Notamacropus eugenii: one gene and its partner. The protein of the gene in region 1 purifies or fractionates together with the protein of each later gene. This does not show direct contact. Links are inferred from orthologs where the notes say so. Each region holds a gene or a part of one and is shown on either strand. Other genes may lie near its edges.

Region 1 (10,753 bases):
CTAAGACATAGGAAGGAAACCAGAAGGTTAGAAGGGAACACACTGGAATGAGGCCCAAACATAAGACATCTGGTATGAATGGGTAATACCTTCTTGAAGACCTGCTCTATGTTAAAAAAGAAAAATGCCTGCCTCAGTATTATGGTTTAGTCCTGTACTAAAATTGCCCATTTGATCATTTGCTCAGCTCTAAAAATTTTCTGACAATTTTTTATACAATGATATTTATCTGCTGAATGAGACCTCATGCCAGTGTTGAATACTGGAGATTTACAAAGTCCTAGGTTCCTCTCACTGGCTTCTCTGGATGCTTTCTCAGATTACTGCCTGATGGGATGCCTTCAGTGTGAAGCTATACACTTGGGACTGATTTGGTCAGCAATGTCAAGGAGCTGGGATATCAAGTTAAAAAAATACTACAAGTATCAAGAATTCAATCTATCATTGCTCTTAGTAATTCCAGAATGATGAAAAGGCAATCTATTTTTCTACCCTATTTTTACACACTCCTTCCTAAACAGACTCCCTTTATATGAAAATTAAAACAAGTCTAAATTACAGAATGTCAGAGGTGAAAGGGATCTTTCGTGATCATCCAAACCTTATAACAGTATGTAGTTGTTTTTTTTCCCAACATAGTTGGAAGCTTTTTAGCCACAAATGGTTTCCTAAAAATTATATGGAAACTTTCCTACAGAGGTTCATGCACATCCACTGGCCAAAACTGTAAATGCTGAGACGATACTAGTCATTAAAGGACATTATAGGACATAGTTATGCCTCAATTTTCAGGTAAATCTAATACATGAAAATGTAGGTTGCCACAGAAGGCATATTAGGGGAGTGACTTTTCCCCTTCCAAAAGGATTTAACGTAGTATTCTGTAAGGGTTTGCTCCTCAGATGCACGTTAAAAAGATTTGATGGCCAGATCACGCAACTTCAGAGACACACTTGAATATGATGTACTGATACAAAGGCACTATCTCCATTCATCTCTATTACAGATAGAGGATATCAAGATACAAGGAGGAAGAAAACTGAGGCAAAAATGTAGGTTTCTCTAAAACCACAAAGTCTTGGTTAAAATTCTGGGCTATGACCCCGTGAATACAGTACCCTGATTCCTGATTCACTGCTTCCTAAAGACTGGTACTGGCTCTCTCATCTTTGCCCCAGTTACAGAATTCATTGTCAGAAAGCTTGTATCTCCACTTTCCATAAGTATCAGGTAGCCTTCACTGCTTTAAACAAACCATAGAGGAAAAAAAATGTAATTACCTCTCCAGACTGTCCTGTCTGTCAGGATCTTGTATCCCCAGAGATCCCAAAATTGTATCTACCAAAGGCTGGTACTCAAAAATGATCCTCCGGAAGCCATGCAGAAAGGGCATTGTGGCAGTTTGGTCGGAGTTCCCAAACGAGACTCTTGCATCAGTTGCAAGAGTTAAGGGCTGGTTTTCTCTGAAATCAAGAGATTGATCTGGGTTCATTCCCTTAGTGGAGTCTCTAAGCATTTCTATATTGCTTCAGAAAATAAGACGTGCATAAAAAAAGTAAAGAATCACAGACTATTATGAGTTGAACAGTAACTTAGGATCATTTATAGTCCAACACCCTCATTTTACTGCTGAAGAAACTAAGACCCTGAGAAGTCAAGTGACTATCCTAAGATCATACAGTTCATGTTTGACAGAGCAGAGTGACAGAACCATGTCTCCCGAGTTCTAGCCCAGGAAGTAATATCCACATCACAATGTCTCTTAAGCCCACCCAAATGAAAACACTCTCATCTTTTAGCCTATAAGAAGCCTCTGAGTGTTCCATAGCTGTGTTTTATAGATAGTGAGGCTCAGGGAGGAGGCTATCAGCAATACAGACAAGGTGCCAGGGACTGCTATGACATTAGAACTACTGCTGCTACACTGATAAACAACATTTACTAGTTGGATGATCGATCCAAGACAGTTCCAAAGGACCCATGATGAAAAATGCTGTCCACCTCCAGAGAGAACTGATGAACTCTGAATGCAGATTGAAGCACACTTTTTAAAAAAAACACTTTGTTTTACTTTGTGTTTTCTTTTTAACATGGCTAACGGAAACATGTTTTTCATGACTTCACATGTACAACTGAAATCAAATTACTTGCTTTCTCAAGGAGGGGAAGAGAGAATTTAGAACGCAAAATTTTAAATATCACTGTTAAAATTTTTTTTACCCCTAACTGGGAAATATTTAATCAAATAAATAAAAATAATTTTTAAAAAAGAACTACTGCTATAAGTTCCCTGAGAATAGAGATGATGTTTAATTCATCTTTGTCTCTTCCCCTGCACCTAGGGCAGTACAGTCACATAAGAGATACTTAATAAATATTTGCTGAATTAATGCATGAGTCAGGTTTTCTCTGAGTTGAAAGGGACATTGGATGTTATCTAATCTAACCCATTTCTGAATGGGAATTCCCCCTACAACAACCCAAGAAATGGTCATCCGGCTTCTCTTTGATGTTTCCCAGTGATCTCCTTGGACAGCCCAGCACATTTTTGTACAGATCTTCACTGCTGGCAAGGTTTCCTTAGATTATGCAGAAAGCGGCCTCACTGTAAGTAACTTCTACCCCATTGGCTCCTAGGCCTGCCCTCTAGAGGTCCCATGGGGAGCAGGTCTAATCCTTCTTCCACATAAATGCATTATCTTTCCTCCTTGGCACCTCAAGTCACACGTGGTGATTCCCTTAAGTTTATATATAATATCATGCTTATATATAACACAATAATCTGCTTATATATAGTACTTCCTACATTATAGTTCTGTATGATTTCTGCTTATAGTAATATATTTTTGATTCCCCTACCAAACTGTGACCTCCATGGCATGAAGGACTATGTCATCTTACCTGCCTCTCTTCCCACTGTGGGATACAATGCTCTCTACACATAGCATCATAAATATATGTCAAATAAATGCTTGCATCTACACTAGCTGTATGGAATTGAGATCCCTAAACACCCAAGAGGCTGCGTTCAGTTCAACTGAACAACATTTACTAAGCATGCATCTGAAAGCAGAGAGGGGAAGTTATTTCTCCAGTCATCACGTAAATAAGTGGCAAAGCCTACGTATTTATATACTTTCTTACACTTATGTCGTATAAGTTAAAGACACATGGCAAAGCACTTTGGGTAGGGAGTGCCTTCCCACTGTGCCTTCCATAGTGTTTTAAAGGTTGCACAATATTTTCCTTGAAATCTCATTAAAAGAAACTGAAGCTCTTGGCAATGAACTGTCCAAGACCACACAGCTAGAAAATAGCTGCGCCAAAACAATATTCAGGTAGAATACACACACACACACACACACACACACACACACACACGTCTTCAGGACACAGGACAGGACAGGCTGGTGAAGAGGCCGTCTCTGTGCTATGTCAGAGGACAAGGTACTGACCGGGGCAAACGAGCTCCCCCTGTGACCTAGGCAATTCGCTTTCCTTCTCTGGGCCTGCGTGTCCTCATCTACAAAACGCGGAGAAGACTCAAGCCAAAGAACGTGGCTGTCTTCTTTCAGAACTTTAAATCCCTCCAGGTGAGCTGTCAATTATTACGAGGGGAGGGCAGGAGGCTCCCTGGAGAAGGCAGCAAGCACAGGATGGAGAGTGCGGGGCTCGGCTTCACCCTGAGGAGAGCTGGGTGCAGCCATGGAGGTTGCCGAGCAGCCATCGGCCGGGGGGAAAGACTTCCTAAGAGTTAACACTGCCCTGCAGAGAATGGCCGCCGGGCTAAGCAGCGAGCTCCCCCTCGGCGGCGGTGCCCAGTCCGAGGCCGGATGACCGCCTGTCAGGGATGCAGGGCAGGGTGAGACGCCGGGCCCCTCGGATCGCGCCCCAAGGAGACGCCGGCAGGACCCGCGCGGCAATGGGCCGGAGCTGCGTCTCCGGCCCGGCCCAGGCGGCCCCGATTCCAGCCCTGCCCTCCGCCCTTTTCCCTCCCGAGACTCCGGCTCGAGCCACCACCCCGGCCCCTCAGCCCTGCGCCTGCCCGGGTGCCCCATAGCTCCAGCGGCCGGCCCCGCTCACCCTCATCGATCCCGCGTCCGAAGCTGCAGGGAACCCGGCACCGGAGGTGACGGCAGCTGTCTGGAGGAAGAGAACGGAAGCGGCAGAAGGTACTGGAGCGGAGGGATCCCTACGCCTTGCGCCCCCTTGTGGGCCGGAGGGGCAGGACAGGGCGACGAGAAGTGATGCGAAGCGGGGCGAGGAGGGGCGGGGCGGGGCGGGGCGAGGAGGGGCGGGGCGCGATAGAACTTTCCCGCGACTAGGCAATGGGGCTGGGCTGAGAACTGGAGATCCCTGGCCTCTCTACCTGTCCGAGTTTTCCCCATCTGTGAAATGAGGGGCCTACACAGAATAGTCTCTGAAGTGTTTCTTAACTGTGACATTTAACTCCTGACGTTCTCTTCATTCAATAGAAAAGTTTTATTTTTGTTTTTCGGTTTTGTTGGGTTTTTGATTTGTTTTTTGGTGGAAACCTGTAATCCTTGACATATGGGGAACATCCTGTCTGTTTTCAAAAGGGATGTGACAGGATCTCCTAAATTTAAAAAAAATCAAGATGAAAAGCTAAAAGAGGAAAGCCTTTGCAGTTTAGTCGATGGGATAGCTTTTACTTTCTTTTCTTTCCTCCTTGGCCTATAAGGAAATTGTTAAAGGAGCCCAAACAACAAAAAATCCAACGTGTTCGACTTTTAATAAAGCCTACTGTAACATGATAGACAGGAGCCATGTAAGACGTGTGGATATAAAAGATGAAAAAATGAGGCGGCACCTACACACAAGAACCACAGAGGGCGAGCTAGGAAAGACTTTAGAGGTCATCTAGTCAAATCCTCTCATTTTATAAATGAGAAAACTGAGACTCGGAGACATTAAGTGATCTGCCCCCAGAGGCCCCAGCATTTCCACACAGGCCTTCTGACTGCAAAAACAAACTTTCCATTGTACCACGTTACTTCAGGGATATGAGAAACGTGTACAAATAAGTTTAACCCTGGTCAAGTCATTCAATCTCTGCTGGCTCAGTTTCCTCACCTGTAAAATAAGGGGATTGGACCTGCTAGCCTCAAAGGGCCCTTCTAGCTCAAAATCTATAGTCCTATAAAGTAGAATATAAGGTAGAATATGATTGGGACGTAGGAAAAATCCATTCGAAATTCTCTACCAAAATTTGAGGAGGGAGCAATCATTTTCAACTAGAAAAATCAAGGAAGGCTTTGTGGAGGAGGTGATACCTAAGGTGAATCAAGAACAAAGAGAAATTTCCTTTTTTTTTCCTTTTCAACAATTTAATTATGTTTAATTAACCAGCATTTATAGTCTGTCCCTCCCACAACCCTCCATTGGAAAAAAAAATAAAAATAGAGAAATATGTGACAAATATGCAAAATCATAATTAAGCACCCTTTCAACTCCCCCCTAAGCCTTTTTTGTCTTCCCTGATTACATTGTCGCTATAAGCCCCTCAAAGGCAGAAGCAGTCTTTGTTTTTTCTTATTTGTATCCCCAGTGCTTAGTACAGTGCCAGCTGGGCACATAGTAGGCACTTAATGAATGTTTATTGAATTAAATTGAATCAAGCAAAAATAAATTCCTGCATTGGCTATGTCTAAAAATGTGTGTCTAAGGGAATCTGGGTGGCACAGTGGATAGAGCACCTGCCCTGGAGTCACAAGGATCTGAGTTCAAATCCAGCATCAGACACTTTATACTTACTAGCTGTGTGACCCTGGGCAAGTCACTGAACCCCCATTGCCTCTGTATAGTGAGTCCATCATCCCTCTGGCATTCTTCGTCATCAGTCCTCTGAACAACGTTGTTGCATTTCTCAGCCGTCTGTCTTTGCAGTGTTGTTATTGCATAAGTTGTTTTCCTGGTTCTATTCACTTTTCTCTGCATCATTTCAAACATGTCTTCCCAGGTTTTCCTGAAACTATCCTTTTCATCATTTCTAGTGACCCAATAGTATTCTATTGTATTCATATATCAAAATTGATCCAGTCATTTACCGATGGATGGACACCTTAGTTTCCAATTCCTTTGTTACTACAAAAAGAGCTGCCACAATAAAAGAATTTTGAGTCTAAAATGAGAAGGGATGAGAGGGACACCTGTATTGATACAAAGACTGGGTGAAGGGGGGTACTGTGAAATGAAGTTAGAAAGGTTTGTTAGGGTTGGATTGTAGAAGACCTTACATGTCAGGCTAAAGAGTTTATATCTTCATCCCAAGGGCAATAGAGAGCCATTGAAGGTTTTTCAGAGGGAAGTGACATCAACTGTGCCTTAGAAAGATTCAGGTAGGCTTATATGACTCAAACAGAAGTCAGAGAGACTGGAGAAAAATCTATTTTTAAAAATGATTACTAGAGTGCAAGCCAGAGGTGATTAGGACCCAAACCACAGTGGTGGCCATGTAAGTGGAAGAAAAGGGGGACAGTTGCAAGAGTGAGGTGTTGTCTACAGCACTTGGAGATAGAGAGGATAGGTGTGAAGGAGGAGGAGGAGGGAAGGATCAGAAGTCATTCTAAGGTTTTGAGCCCGCATAATTAGGCAGCATTGTCAACGGAATTTAGAGGAGAAATGGACAGGAGGGGTAAATTTAGAGGGGACCATGAATGTAAATTTGGTTTGGGATGTGTAGAATTCTCAGTACCAAAGGGCAATCTAGGTGGTGATGTGTAGACAGTGGTTGAATGCAAGATTAAAGCTAAGGAGAAAGATTTTGTGTTCTGAGGTCCCATCTAGCTCTGGCAGTTAATCTCAAAAAGTTCCCTGGCTCTTTGGGCTCTAGGATTCTCTATGATCAGGACACTTGGACCAAGGGTATGGCAAGGGGAATGGGAGCATTCATTGTTCATGAATGGTTATGGTGACTAGGATGAGTTCAGAGGCAGGATAAAGGCCGAAGAGCCCTCAAGCTCTCTTCTTCCACTTTTCCTCATTATTGCACAGCCGGAACAAGGCTTTCAGGGGATGGGGATTCACTCTGGATAATCAGAAAAGTTCTCATCAAGCAAGGGAGAATGTATTATCAATAACCACAAGGGGGCAGCATGGCTTCAAAATTGTAGTCCTGGGGCTCAACTATTCAGAAAAACATTGATTAAGCTCTTACGGTGTGTGAGGCCCTGTGATTGGCACTGGGTAGCCTTGGACCAGTGGAAAGATTAAAAAAAAGGTCATACTCCCTGCCTTCCTGAAACTTAGAGTCAAACAAGATGGAATCAGACCTCTGCACAAATAATTAGAATACCAAAAAAAAAGATCTATTAAAAATTCAAGGAGGGTGAGGACACTTGGAGAAGGTAACACTTTGTGCTGGGTCTGGGAAAGATATCAATAAGAAGGGATTACAGGGAGGCCTTCCGAGCCTAGCTGAATGCGTGATGTGGCAGGAGGTAGCATGAGGCTGGAGTAACCAGTAGTCCACCTATGTTTGGAACAAAGAGAGATAATGTGAAACACAGCTGGGAAAAACTGGTGTTGTCCAAGCCTTGTTCTAATGCCTTGTGGTGGTGGTGGCATGTAACTGAGCCTAAACCTTAGCAGGTTCTCCACCATGATGGAATAAGGCTAACAACCTTCATTTCTATAGTAATTTAAGGTTTGTAAAATACTTAATGTGTGTTAGGATGGGGGTTAACCCTGATCATCTAGCACATCCTTTCACACACTTAAAGTAACTAACAAGATCCAAGCCCTGAGACTTTTGTCAGAGGAGAACACCTCCAATGAGTCAATCAATCAGAAAAGTGAATAAATGTGAAGAACACTTAGATATATCTATGAAATCAGCTAATCAAAGGCATGTCAACGAGGTGCGACAGGAAGTCTGTTCTAATTAGTTGAGGGAATTCAGTCACACTCTGTGGGTTTTCTATAAAATTAGCAAGGTAATTCAGAAATCTCCCTGCTCCTAGCAGCTTAGTGGTGGAAGCCATCCCAGATAAACCACTGAGAAAAAAATTGGCCTTTGCCTCTCTCTTCTCCCTTTCCCCCTTTCAAACTTTGGAGAGGGAGGATTTGGAAGCTTCTCCCTGGGACAGTAGATGTCAGAGCCTAGGACAAACCTGACACACTGAAGGATGGCTGCTTCAGAACCCCAAGAGGAAACCCAGAATAAAAGCTTCACATCCCTGTGGGGAACTTCAGGAAGGAGGGGGAAAGACTTATGAATTACCTATTGCCACATGGAGTCCCTAAGTTTGGGCCAACTTTTCTTTGGATTTTGTAGTTATCACTGAATGGGGGATGGGGAGTAGGAAGGAGTTGGGGAAGGGTGCTCCTACTCTTCTTCCTGTACTACCTTAGTAGAATCTGCCTTTCTAAATGCTAATTAAATCTAGCTGATAAACTGATATCAGCTGATAATTATGGAGGGTGTATTATTAGAAAGATCCTCAAGAGTGTGCTGAAGTCAGCTAAAATAGTCTTGGGGAACCAGTTTTTAAATTTTCAGTGTGAGCATAGACACCTAGGAAATCAACAAACTACAAATTGTTGCTGTTTTCTTTTCATTCATGACCAATTATTCCTGACCCAATTTGGGGTCTTCTTGTCAAAGATGCTGGTTTGCCATTTCCTCCTCCAACTTATTTAACAGGTGAGGAAACTGAGGCAAACAGGGTTAAGTGACTTGCCCAAGCTCACACTGCTAGTTAGTATCTTCGGCCACATTTGAACTTAGGATCTCCTCAATCCAGGGCCAGCGCTCAATCCACTGCATTACTTAATCTTGTTCTGACCCATACTGATTGTATGACTCGGAGCAAATCACCGAATCTTTCAGTGCTGGTTCTCCATTATGCCATAAACCATTGAAATGTCAAGGAAATTCCAATATTTCAGCAAATAGTAACTGAATGAATCAAGTCAGTAAGCATTGCAATAAAAATATACATAAGTCACCGAAAATGGAGAAATGTAGGCTGAAGAAACATTGAGATTCACACCCTCGCCCACATGACACACATCTAGAGCCATGAACATCATATGTGCTCAGCCGGGATGACAGATGACTGGGCTGAAGGGCTCTTGACACTTCTAGTGGTACAGCTAGAGTGCTGGCCCCTTCATGAATTCTCATCCTCAGTTTCCCCATCTACAAAATGGCAGGGGGGGATGGACTAGTTGGCATCCAAGGGGCCTTCCAAGTCTAGGTCTGTGGTCCCTTATCACCCAGCTTCAGAAAGACCTTCTGCCCAGGACTAACAATCACTTTGAGGCCCTTATATGTCATCAATTTGTTCTGCAAAGAGCCCTTCCTTATTGAATGTTTGTTAAATGAATGGATGATCCCATGAACCCTTCCCTGTGGACACCAATAGGAAAACTGTATACAATTTTGGCAGCTTTGCAAAGCTGATAAGTAAAATCATAGATGGTGGAGAGGGCAAAAGGAGAAGGAACAAGGACACCACAACCTCCCTGTAACTTACAACGCTGAGAAGGTTGTCTGAAGCACAGAGAGATGATTTGACCTGCTCAGGGTCACATATCTTTGTCAGAACATGTATCCCAATGTTTGGTTCTGATGGAGGCCAGGATGAATCACTCCTGCAGCACTTGGGAATGAGCTTGAGGACAAGGCAAAGATAGGGTTGGAAGGAGAAAAGAGGAAGCCCAGAACTTGTTATGCCAAGAAAATTTTATTTCAAGACTGCTTTTTTCCTCTGCCTCCTCTGCTTCCTGCTACCTCACCCTGACTTACTTTATGCTTATGTGTGAGATACCAAAAAGCTGACCTAAAATAAATTTCAACTATTTGAATCTTATTTTTCCATTGGCTTACACTCTACTATTTGGGGTATGTTCCCAGGAAATACATGTTGAACCCAAGACCATAATGTCTTCTAGTGCAGGAACCAACCTATTATATTTCTTTATAACTCCCTAGGGCTGCCATTTACCTTCTCTTAAGCCTCAGTTTACCCATCTTTAAAATGGCTATAATGATAATATCTCCTACTTCACAAGGTTGTTGTGAGAATCAAAGGTGATAAAATTTATAAACTTAAAGGCTAAATAATTGTCAGCTATATTGTTGTTATTATTGGCATATATTATGTGCTCAATGAATAACAGCTGAATGGATGGATCTAAAATGTAGTAAACCTTTTAAAAGAAAACATTTTTTCTAATTAAACATTAATAATACTCAAACATAAGTCATTTGAGATAAAATACCACCGTGCTATAAGGAATGATGAGCTGGTTCATTTTAGAAAAACATGGAAAGACTTGCAGGAAATGAAGAATGAAATTAGAAGAACCAAGAAAACACTGTATACAGTAACAGCAATATTGTTTGAAGAACAACTGTGAATGACTAAATTATTCTGAGTATTATAAATACTCAAATCCCAACTATAAAGGACCTACGTTGCAAGATGCTATCCACCTCCAGAGAAAGAATTGATGAATAGAAGATACATACATACATACATATATATATATACATACACATATTTGTGTCTAACGGTAGTCTTTTTGAGTGTGGGATGGGGAGAACAGGAGAAAAACAAATAATTTTTTGATTTCTTGTATTTAAGTTCAAAATGAATGAAACAATTTTGACAAATCATTTTCCATTTATCCTATTTTTTAAAAAATCATTTGACGTAAATTGTGTTCTACAGTGGAAGCAAGGGCCCTACAAAATTTCTGCTGATCCCCTACAGTCCAGAAGAAT
Region 2 (10,323 bases), on another chromosome or scaffold:
CCACTATTTTTCCCTGACTAGAACTTTTCCCTATGATCTTTACTACAGAAACCATTCACATTTTCTCTCTCCACTAGGAATGTAAAATCTTTAAGGGCCAGAATACTTTGTCTTGTAAAACATGAGCTCAAATACTGTTACTCGCTACCTGTGTGACCTGGAGTTTCTTTGCTTCTGTTTTCAGTATCTCTACCTGTGAAAGAAAGGGGTTAGACAGGTAGAGACTTGGAGGTTCCTTCTACCTTCTAAAGGTACAATTCTTTCTATATCCTTAAGCACACAGATAGGAAACCAGTAGATGCTTAATAACATTTGACTTATGTACATGAAGGAAAAGTTCATGGTTTCTGTAGCTTCAGATATCAAGAAAACAATTTTTGAAATCTGTTTTTGAACCAGGATTTTCTGGGTGATCAGGGAAAGTTTCCTCATCCAAGTACTACATCGTTAGCATTTACAGAGAGCTTAAGGTTTGCAAAGCCCTTTAGATCTCATCTGATTCTCACTACAACTTTATTACTCTACCCCATATTACAGATGAGACAGATCATGTAACCTGCCCAGGATTTCTCAGTCATCTCTGAGGCAGGATATTAACTGAGGTCCAAGCCTCCGTTCACTAGCCACCTAGTTGACTCTCATTTTCATTTGATCCTGTGCCCAGTATTTTGGCTTTTAAAAAGCCATTGTGAAATAAGAGTCTAGGAAGGTCCATTAAATATAAGAGGCATACACCACCTAAATTTCAAGTATAATAGGAAGATACACTTATTGTAATATTAAAATTTCTCCATTGTACTTTATTTAAAATTAAAATTTTGAATATAGCTACCAGAACATTAGATGTGATTCTTAATAAGCTAAAAGGAAGACAAAAAATAGTAGCGAACAGCTTTTAATGCTGAAGGTAGAAAACATTTTCCTGAAAAACAAATATACTATAATTCACATTTATTTTCCTTCTCAATGCTTTTAATAGTTGTTCTATAAAGAGATATAACATTCTACAGATTTTTTTTCCTCAAGATATACTTTGCTGAATAAGGCCACAACTATCCTTTTGTAGAGAAAAGTACATTTAAAACACTAGGCCTATTCTAGGTAGACAAGAAATCCTGGCCTCATGACACTGAAGAAAGATGAAACAAATTAACTCCCCATCTCCTCAGGTCACCTCTGACTCTGCATGAAGAAACTAGGAACCAGGGGGTAAAGTGATGGACGTGTCTAAGGTCATACAACTGGTGTTCTAACCCAGTCTGATACTCTCTTTACTAGGCCACACCTAAAACTCTTGGTACATCTGAAAGCCTATGGCACCTCTTAGATGCCCTCTCACATTCCTCCCCTTTCCTCCTGACTGTAGCACATACATACCACCTCTAGTATTCTCAGTCATGTCCCCCAATACATCATTACTTTGTACAGAAATCCTAAAAGGAACCTTAGGAGCACTCCCCTGCTGGTTCATCCATGTACTCCGCTGGCACAGATAGCATGCCTCTTCTCTCTTTCCTGAATTCCTCTCTTGGTAACTGTGCCACCTTCCTAAATAGCAGGAGTAAAGATTCCAGTGGAGACAGTCAAACCTCTGAGCAAGGATATCACAAGAAATCACTGATAACTGGAATAAATCCCAAAATTTCAGCAATGATGGCCCAGTCTACTCAATGCACATTTTATTCAAATGAGTAATGCACTGTATAGGATACAAAACTTGAACAAAAACTTTCTTCATAAATGCCACCATATCTGGACTTTGTTCCCAAAGACTTGGCTTATATTCGATATCAAAACTCTGAACGAGATCTAATATAAAATCCTACTTTTATCTTTTTAACCATAAAATCTGCCTGAATTTTCATGATGCTCATATCTAACTTAAGTAGGGTATTATTTACTTCTTTATACTTAATGTATTATTAACTGTCAGTCACTTAGTTTGTAGTAATTAGGATCATTAATTAGTAATTTAGGACAGAAGTGGTTTGTTTAAAAAAAAAATGAATCTCTCACTATTATTATTGACTGAATACTCACTGGACTTTAGCAGTCCATAAATAAAAGTCTGTATGTAATATACATTCCAAAATACTTGTAGACTAAGAAAACCTAACTGCTCTAAATCTGTATCAACGTGGTAATTGTGGAATAAGTGTTATAACTAAGATGGTAGAATTACAGCCATTTGAATTCTTATATGCATGCATTGGATACTTCAAGCATGTTTGTTATATAATATCAACTGCCACTATAGGTTTCCACATTTCTATTTAATGTTTGAAGTAATTAATTTGGTAAAAAGAGAAAATTACTTTCTGAATATTAACCCTTCAGAATGCAGGATAGAAGCCGAAAATGTTTTTACTTTCAACAAAATGTAACATTTTAGAGGTCTATTTTCACTTTAAGGATGAACACAATGAATGACACCATGAAAACAAACCTTTAACCTACAAACTGAAATGTTCCTTTTTAAAAAATCAGAACTTCTACTCCTTTACAGTAAGTTTTTTCACAGCTTTACATAAGAAAAATAATACTAGAAATCTTTTAAATAAAATAAATCAAGGTTTTTTTCCCTCTCAACAAAATAACACTACCCAAATTTTAAAATGAGATCGTATTTCTCATGTCAGAGGAAAAATTAAATCATGTCCCTAGCATGAAAAGTAAGAATCAACATTAAGTTGTAACAAAATTCTACAGAAAAAAGATAAAAAACTTAAAATATATATATTTGAATCACTATAAATACTATAAAGTATCCTCAAAATGAAAGGATAAAAGATACAGGATGCTTAAGATAATCCAATATGCTTAAAAATCTCATCCCTTAATTAGAAAATCTTGTCTACAATTTACTTCCCCTCTAATGACTCTAAAACTCATATTTTAGTTCCCAAGTACAGAAGGTTTTATTTTTTAACATGAACCTCTCTTTGCCTCCATTCTTTCTCGTAATTTGTATTTAAACAGCACTCTTCCTAGGAGGGTTGGGAGTAAACGACTTCACCTGCCTGGGCCTCGGGTCTATAAAAAGCAAACGCACGTCCCAACTCGTATCAATCATAGCTTATCGATCACACACGGCACATGATTCCTTTACTCTAAGTGTGATCAAACTCGTCTCGGTGCAGCACGCCGTCCCTGCGGACCGGTCCCCCCACGGCCGGACCAGGCGGGCAGGGGCGCCTCGGGATGGCCGGGCCGGCACCCCCGAGCCCGCGGGTCTGACAGGCGCGGCCGCCGGGGGCGGGGGGCGCTCAGCAGTTTCCCCCACGCGCGGCCCCGTCGGCCACACCCGGCCCAGTCTCACGCCGGCCTGCGGGCCTTCGACAGGAAAGCGCGTCGCTCCCCCACCCCCTCCGTCGGTAGAAGGCCCGGGTGGGCGGGCCTGCGCTCACACGTGCGTGCGTTCGCGCGCTTGCTTGCTTCCTCAGAGGCCCACGGAAGACGTCGGCCCCCCACGGGGGCCGGGGGAGGAGCGCGCGTGCGTGGCCGCGTGGGGGAGGGAGACGCCCCGGAGGCCTCGCGGCAGCCCCGGGCTCGCGTGGCAGCGCTTACCCATCACCTGGACCCGGCAGATGGCGCACGTGTCGCACTCCACGTCCCAGCTCCACATGGCCACAGCGTTCCACTTCTTGAGGGAGAACATCTTGTCGCCTGCGGCCTTGGAGCCCGAGCTGCCCAAGTGCGAGGCCGGCGCGCCAGGCTCCTCTCCGTCCTCCACGTCGGCCATGGCGGCGCGGGCGGGCCCGGCCGGCCGGCGTGGGAGAGGCTTGGGGCGAGCGCGGCGGGGAGCTATGGCGGCGGGGCCAAGCCTCCTCGGGAGAGGCTGCAGCTCCCTCCAGAGGCGGCCGCAGGGAAGAGCCGGCCGACCGTTAGCTACCGAGCCCGCCGCCTACGCCCCCGCGGACGCCGACGTCGACCACGCCGCTGAGCACGCCGACGTCAGCCCCGCCGGCGCGGCGCCGCGGCCCAGGATTGGACGACTCTGCCTGCGCTTGGGTTACGTCACCGGGGCGGAGCTGAACGGGCCCCGCCCCGCCCCCTCCTGCCCTGCGCGTGTCTTCTTGCGCTCACCTTGCCGCGGGTGGTCCTGGGTTCTTGGTCGCCCCTCGAAAGCGCTGCCCTCGGCCGGGCACCGGCAGTCCGCAGCCCTGAGGCCTGATGTGGGCAGGGCCTGGGCCCGGTGCCGAGCTTAATTAAGCCCTGGCCTTCCGAGCCCCCAGTGCTTGAAGTCACTTCGTAAAAGAGGGCAAGGAATCAGCCGAGTAAGGCTCCCTACCCCTGTGCGAGAGCCGAGTTCAAACCCTGCCTCCCGTACTCACGAGCTCCGTGACCTTGGGCCAGGCGCGCCACCACTGGCTGCCTCCGTTTCCCCGTCTGTAAAATAGGAATCACAAAGGCCCTCTCAGCTTCCGGGGCTGCTGCGAGGATCACGTGGGATATTAGGAAAGCACCTGGTACGATGCAGGCACGTATGGGTGATCAATACACTGATTTCCTTCCTCTGCCTAAACTTCTCCACGGTAAGACCTCCCCGAGCCGTCGGGAGGATCCGTTGGAGAATATTTACGTAAATGAAATTAGCAGGTCCTTAACCCGTGCGGCCTCAGCTTCCTCCTCTGCGCGGTGGGGAGGTGCTATCTGCCCAAGTGGAAGGACCCAGCGAGACGAGACGCGTGAAGGGCCGCATAAATACCGGCTGTCCTTCTCGTCTCCTCCCGACTCTCCTGGTGACCTCTTGCCGTCTCCCTGGCAGCCCTCAGCCCGTTAGGGTTTTCTTAAGTCAGCAGTGGGCACAGGGGAGGGAGGGGGAAGGAACATTCCTCACAAAGCTGTATGTGAGTATCAATATCATTTATACGGAATTATTGGGTACCTGTAAGTGCTGGATAGCTGAGGTAGTGCGGAAGATGATCACAGTGGGATTACTTAGAGAATTTGGAGCCCAACCAGACTAAGCCTAAAAAGGTAGTTGCTTATTAATGAGCAGTCTGAAAAAGGAAAGGATAATAGATGGGTTGAAAGAAGGAGGAAAGCTCCTCCAGGCAGGAGTGGCATGTGGTACCACAGTTGGGAGATGGCAGAAATATTCCTGGAAACATTAAATTTGTCCAACTGAAGTGGAAACAGAAGTCTAGGAGGGCTTAGTTATACATTAAAAGTTAAGGGAAAGAAAGAATTTGAGGTATAGTAGTGCCAATTGACAACCATAGGGACTGATTATGATAGATTGAGTTTAAAGAGGGATTGGGAGAAAAGTATGAATTAGACTCATTCAGCATCAGGGGTTTGGGGAGGGATGGACAAAAAGTACAGAATTGGAGATCTTTTGAGAGGTCAGTGCTAAAAATATTGATTGGGAAATCATATTTGAACATGGCCATTATTTATGGTTGTATGTAAGACGAGTCAAATATTTACCAAGTACTCAAAGATGAGCACAGCCCTCACTACATTTGGAACTCATTCATGCAACCACTATTTGTGGGCAGTAAGTATATTCATAGCACACTGGGAGGCACTAAGGGAAATTTTAAAAAAATTAATGTGGCACAGGGACCTCATGGATAAGAAGGATATTGTGCATAATGGCAGCCTCCCTGTATTTGCTTCCATGTCTGAGGTTAAGGAGATGCTGAGTAACTTGTTTATACAGTGTCTTGATCAGATGATGAGGGCAAAGATCCCTCCCATCTACTTTTTGTCCTCCTGACTGGCATTAGTGTGATCTTGTGAGATTTTGCAATCCATGTGGCCCCCTAGAAGCAAGCAATTGGTGTCTGACAGAATGTAGAACCAGTCATGGGTCAAAGGCATGTCAAAGCAGGGGGCTAGCCCAGGATAACAGAGAATGGAGGAGCAATGAGGAACAAAGCTATGATGTGAACCAGCAAACCAAGACTTGTCCTTCACAGGTGCTGTGAGTCATATGAACTGTGCAGGAATGGCGGAAAAGGAGCTTACCCAAATAAGAGTAGAAGGGTTTATTGAATATGCAATACATTATCTTCCCAGTTAAAGATGTTCAGGCTCTGAAACTTAAACCAATGTGCCATCGACCCTTAAATGCAACAGAACGCTCTGTAAGGCTTAGGACATCTTATGGCTACCTACGCACTGATAAGATACTGATACTAGAAATCATTCTTTAACCTCAGTGCTTGTCATTTACTTATTTTTAGTTTTCAACATTCACTTTTATAAAATTCTGATTCTGAATTTCCCCTCCTTCCTAAGACAGCATGCAATTTGATATAGGCTGTATATATACATATATGTATATATACTATATACAATACATACTACCTACACATATGTATACATATACAATATACATTGTATATACATATGTATATACTATATTATACACACATATACAATCATATTAAACACATTTCCACTTTGGTTATGTTGTGAAAGAAGAATCAGATAGAAAGGGAAAAACCATGAGAAATTAAAAGAGAGAGAGAAAGAGAAAATAGTATGCTTCGATCTGATTTCAGACTCCATAGTTCTTTCTCTGGATGTGGATGGTATTTTCCATCATGAACCTCAAAGCTTTTAATCATCTCTAATAAACACCTTGTCACACTTTCCACAGGGGATTTTGCAAACCTCCTTTCGCATCTGGACCCAAAATTTACCCCACTTTTCTCAGCAAATGACCTCACTTTCTATTGTACTGAGAAGAATGTGATCTTCTACTGGGAATTCTATTTACCCCCATCTTTCATATTTTAATACCTCACTATGTCTACCCCTCTTTTACAGAGGATGAAGTATCATAACCCCTTGCTTTTCCTCTTTATATTTTCTCCCTTGGTGAGAGGATCCATTGTCATGATTTCAGGTATCACAGCTATGGGGATGATTCCTAAATCTGTATAACCATTCCTGATTTTTTTTTTTTGAATGATGGTCCAGTATTTCTACCTAGATGTCCTGATATTACCTCAAACTCAGTATGTCCAAACTGAATTTATCATCATCTCTCTAAAACTGGCTCCACTCTATTTGTACTGCTTACTACCCATGGGACCTTAGCCAAAGCTTTCCATTTCCCTAGGTTTCAGTTTCCTCATCTGTAAACTGAGGGCGTTGGAGCAGATAAGCCTTAAAACCTAATCCATCTCTAAATCGTAGGATTAGTCCAGCTTTCCTACTCCTGTTAGTAGCACCGTAGCCTTCCAGTCTCACCCAAGCACAAAACCTGTCATCTTTGACTCTGCCCTAGCCTTCAACCACTTTCCCTACATCCCATCAATTTATAAAACCTGTGCACAAGGTTATTTCTTAACCAAATGTCTACTAGTTGGTTATGTTGTATCTTAGTTGGCTATGTTGTTGCATTGGTCAGGAGGAAGGTATTTGTATTTCTGTACTATGGTGATTTTCCTGTTGTGTTTCTATTAAGAAAAGTACTTTCATCCCTTCAAAAACTCCTTTCACAAGACTTTCCAAGAAAGTAAATATGACCATTTTTGCTCTTTTTCTTCACTTGTCTGTCTTCATTCTTACTCTTTCCTTTTCCATCATCTCTATAAAAAATATTTTTTTATGGGTGAAAAAAGTGTTCTGAAATTTCTTTTCTTTGGAAGACTGGTGGAATTCTCTCTCTCTTTTAAATAAATATTTAAATAATTTTGTTAAATGAATCTAAAATAAATGAATCTCAGCAAAATTGTAACTTTAGGGAGCACAGGGTCAGTTGATATGGGCTGTAAAACCCTCAGGGTGCTTCTCTGCTGCCCCCATAAGAACTGCCAGTAAGATCTGCCCTTTGATCCAAGACTCTATTATCTTCAGCTTATTGACCTACTGGCACCTGAACTCTAATTTAGCTTAAATCTTTCTTCCTGGCAGTTCCTGTTTGATAAACAGACTCTGCTTGAGAACAGTTGATCCCTGGTTGTTTTGACCTGTGACTCTGTGTACAGATCTTTTTGTCTCTGCTTCTTTGCATCTGTTGATAAGTCCCCCTTCTCCCCTTCCTCTCACCCCATTCTCCCTCCCAGGCTCACCACCACCCTAGGCCCATCCCCAGCCAAATGGTTCCTTCCTCTTCTAACTGATCCAGCTTAGTGGGGTATGATGGGTATCCACCAAAACTCAGTTCTTAGCTTTGGTCTTTTTGTCTTTATAATCAGATAATCTTAGATTTAGACCTAGGAAGGGACATTAGAGCTCATCTAGTTCAGTCCCCTCATTTTACAGATGAAGAAACTGAGGTACGGTGAGGTTAAATGACTCGCCTAAAATCGCACTCGGACTAAATCACTTCATCTTTCTGGATCTCAGTTTCCTTATCTGTAAAACAAGCTAGGAGTCTGCAGGCTTCATTATGAACACACTAACCCCATTTCCCTTTTTGACTAGATGACTGTGCCAGTGGATGAGGTGATGTGGATATAGTTTGCCTAGCAAAACTTTGAATAAAGTATCTCATTATAAACACTTTTGTTTGCATTTTGATAACCCTCCACAATCTGATTCAAGCCTACCTTTACTGATGATACATTACTGTTGTTCATGCACTCTTTAGTCTAGCCTGTAGACTGGTCTGCTTACTATCCTTCATATGTAACATTCCACCTCCTGAATCCATGCCTTTTGCCCCATGCCTGGAATACACTTGCTCTTTATCTTTGCCTTATAGAATCCCAAGTTTTCTTCAAGGCTTAACTCAAATTCCATCTCCTACATGAGCCCTTCCCCAATCCCCCAAGTCGCTAGTGCCTTCTCTCCAGAAATTTCTTTGCTTCTTATGTAGTCTGCATTTGCTTTTTTACATGCATATTGTTTCTTTCTAACAAGCTCATTAAGCACAGGGACTATTTCTTTTTCTGTCTCCAGCACTTAGCCCAGCTTCTGGCATGTAGAAGATGCTCAATAAATGTTTATTAAATGAGTTGAATGACCATAAGTTACCATCCAAACCTCTAGCCTTCCACCACCTCCAAACCCAGTGTTATAGCAGGCTTTAAACAGGTGCTTGTTGAATGAATAGCTCTCCTGCTTCTTTCCTGTTCCCTATAGTACCAAACATTGTGCTATGCATGTAGTAAGTGTTCAATAAGTACTTCACAATAGATTTTTATCTTTCTAGGACTGGAACAATTTTTTTATTCAACTTGCTAGAGCCTTGAAATTTCCCAGATTTTCTTTTCCCACCATAGCTATATTCTACCTAGCACAAGAGCCCCTCAAATTCAAAGCAGCATACTATAAGAACAAAGAGATCTCAGCTTATTGAACTTATTCACCATTTTTCAGGAAATCACCTTCATTCCTAGCTCTTCTTTCCCATTTGCTCTGCCTGGACGGGTACTAAGCTCATTCATTTTGCATTTCCTACCCTATGCACAATGCCTTGAACGTAAGAGTCACCTAAGAAATGTTTGATGAATACGCTGTTGCTTGAATTTAATAAAGAAGTGGAGTGGCTAGAAGTTCTCTCCTTTGATGTAGAAGGTGCTTTCCAAGGAAGTGACAAGTAGGGAACAGCTCCCTTTCCCAAATATACCTGCACAAACACAACCTCAGAAAGAAGATTCATTTTTTCTTAACTAGGTTAACAGCACGCTTACTTCTAACCTGGCAGAAACTGCATTTGCTCAAAAGAAGGAGAAATCACAGAAAAAGATTTAATCTGTTTTACTGAGTTTTCCTTGGAAAAGCAACTTTTTATAAAAATGACAAATGTAATATAATGTAAGAATAAGGTATTCTCACACATTCATAAAATGACTCTTATTTGGAAATATCATTTCTCACTGACATTGTCTTCGGTATCCATAACAGCTTGTCCACAGGAATAAGTGGAGTTTATTTTTTGGCCTGTGAAATAATGAGAAAGAAATAGAAGTTTAATATAAAGAGGCTACCTTCCCACAATAGGTAATCAATTTATCATAATAATTCATTTCATAAATCTAAATCCAAAAAAGTTTAGACAAGTTCATAGATAAAGATTTGTAGTTGATTATTGTGAAACTGGGATGTCCTGGAGGTAGGTTCCTAATCTTCCGGAGCCACTGCGCTCTTCCAGTACAAGGCAGGAGGATGCCAACCTCAGAAATGGAATGCAGGATTGGATGGGTCTGACCAAGTGCTGTGATTCCTATAATTGCCTATTGACATTTCACCCCTGTTGTCTTTACCAGCTGCACTCCCTAACTTTCATAAAGCCTTCCTGATGATGATCCATTTACCCAAACAGGTACACTATTCTTTGTTTACCTTTTTCTTTTTCTTATGGGCAGAACCAAACTTCTTACTGTTTTTCCAGATGGATCTGAAGGTATCTGAAGA

The links.
Region 2: the proteins of ASB6 (region 1) and RNF7 purify together in Homo sapiens (co-immunoprecipitation; 4 studies listed by BioGRID and IntAct, counting the BioPlex papers as one, with this or other methods). This does not show direct contact. The link is inferred for Notamacropus eugenii from reciprocal best matches to the Homo sapiens genes ASB6 and RNF7.

What each region holds. Positions count from the first base shown.
Region 1 is NC_092872.1:481,161,032-481,171,784, forward strand, and holds the start of ASB6 (ankyrin repeat and SOCS box protein 6), read right to left. Parts: upstream 4,186-10,753; 5' UTR 4,084-4,185; intron 3,954-4,083; exon of another isoform or gene 3,456-3,953; intron 1,464-3,455; 5' UTR 1,394-1,463; coding exon 1,281-1,393; intron 1-1,280. UniProt on the Homo sapiens protein: Probable substrate-recognition component of a SCF-like ECS (Elongin-Cullin-SOCS-box protein) E3 ubiquitin-protein ligase complex which mediates the ubiquitination and subsequent proteasomal degradation of target proteins.
Region 2 is NC_092877.1:330,006,485-330,016,807, reverse strand, and holds the start of RNF7 (RING-box protein 2), read right to left. Parts: upstream 3,995-10,323; 5' UTR 3,743-3,994; coding exon 3,568-3,742; intron 1-3,567. UniProt on the Homo sapiens protein: Catalytic component of multiple cullin-5-RING E3 ubiquitin-protein ligase complexes (ECS complexes), which mediate the ubiquitination and subsequent proteasomal degradation of target proteins.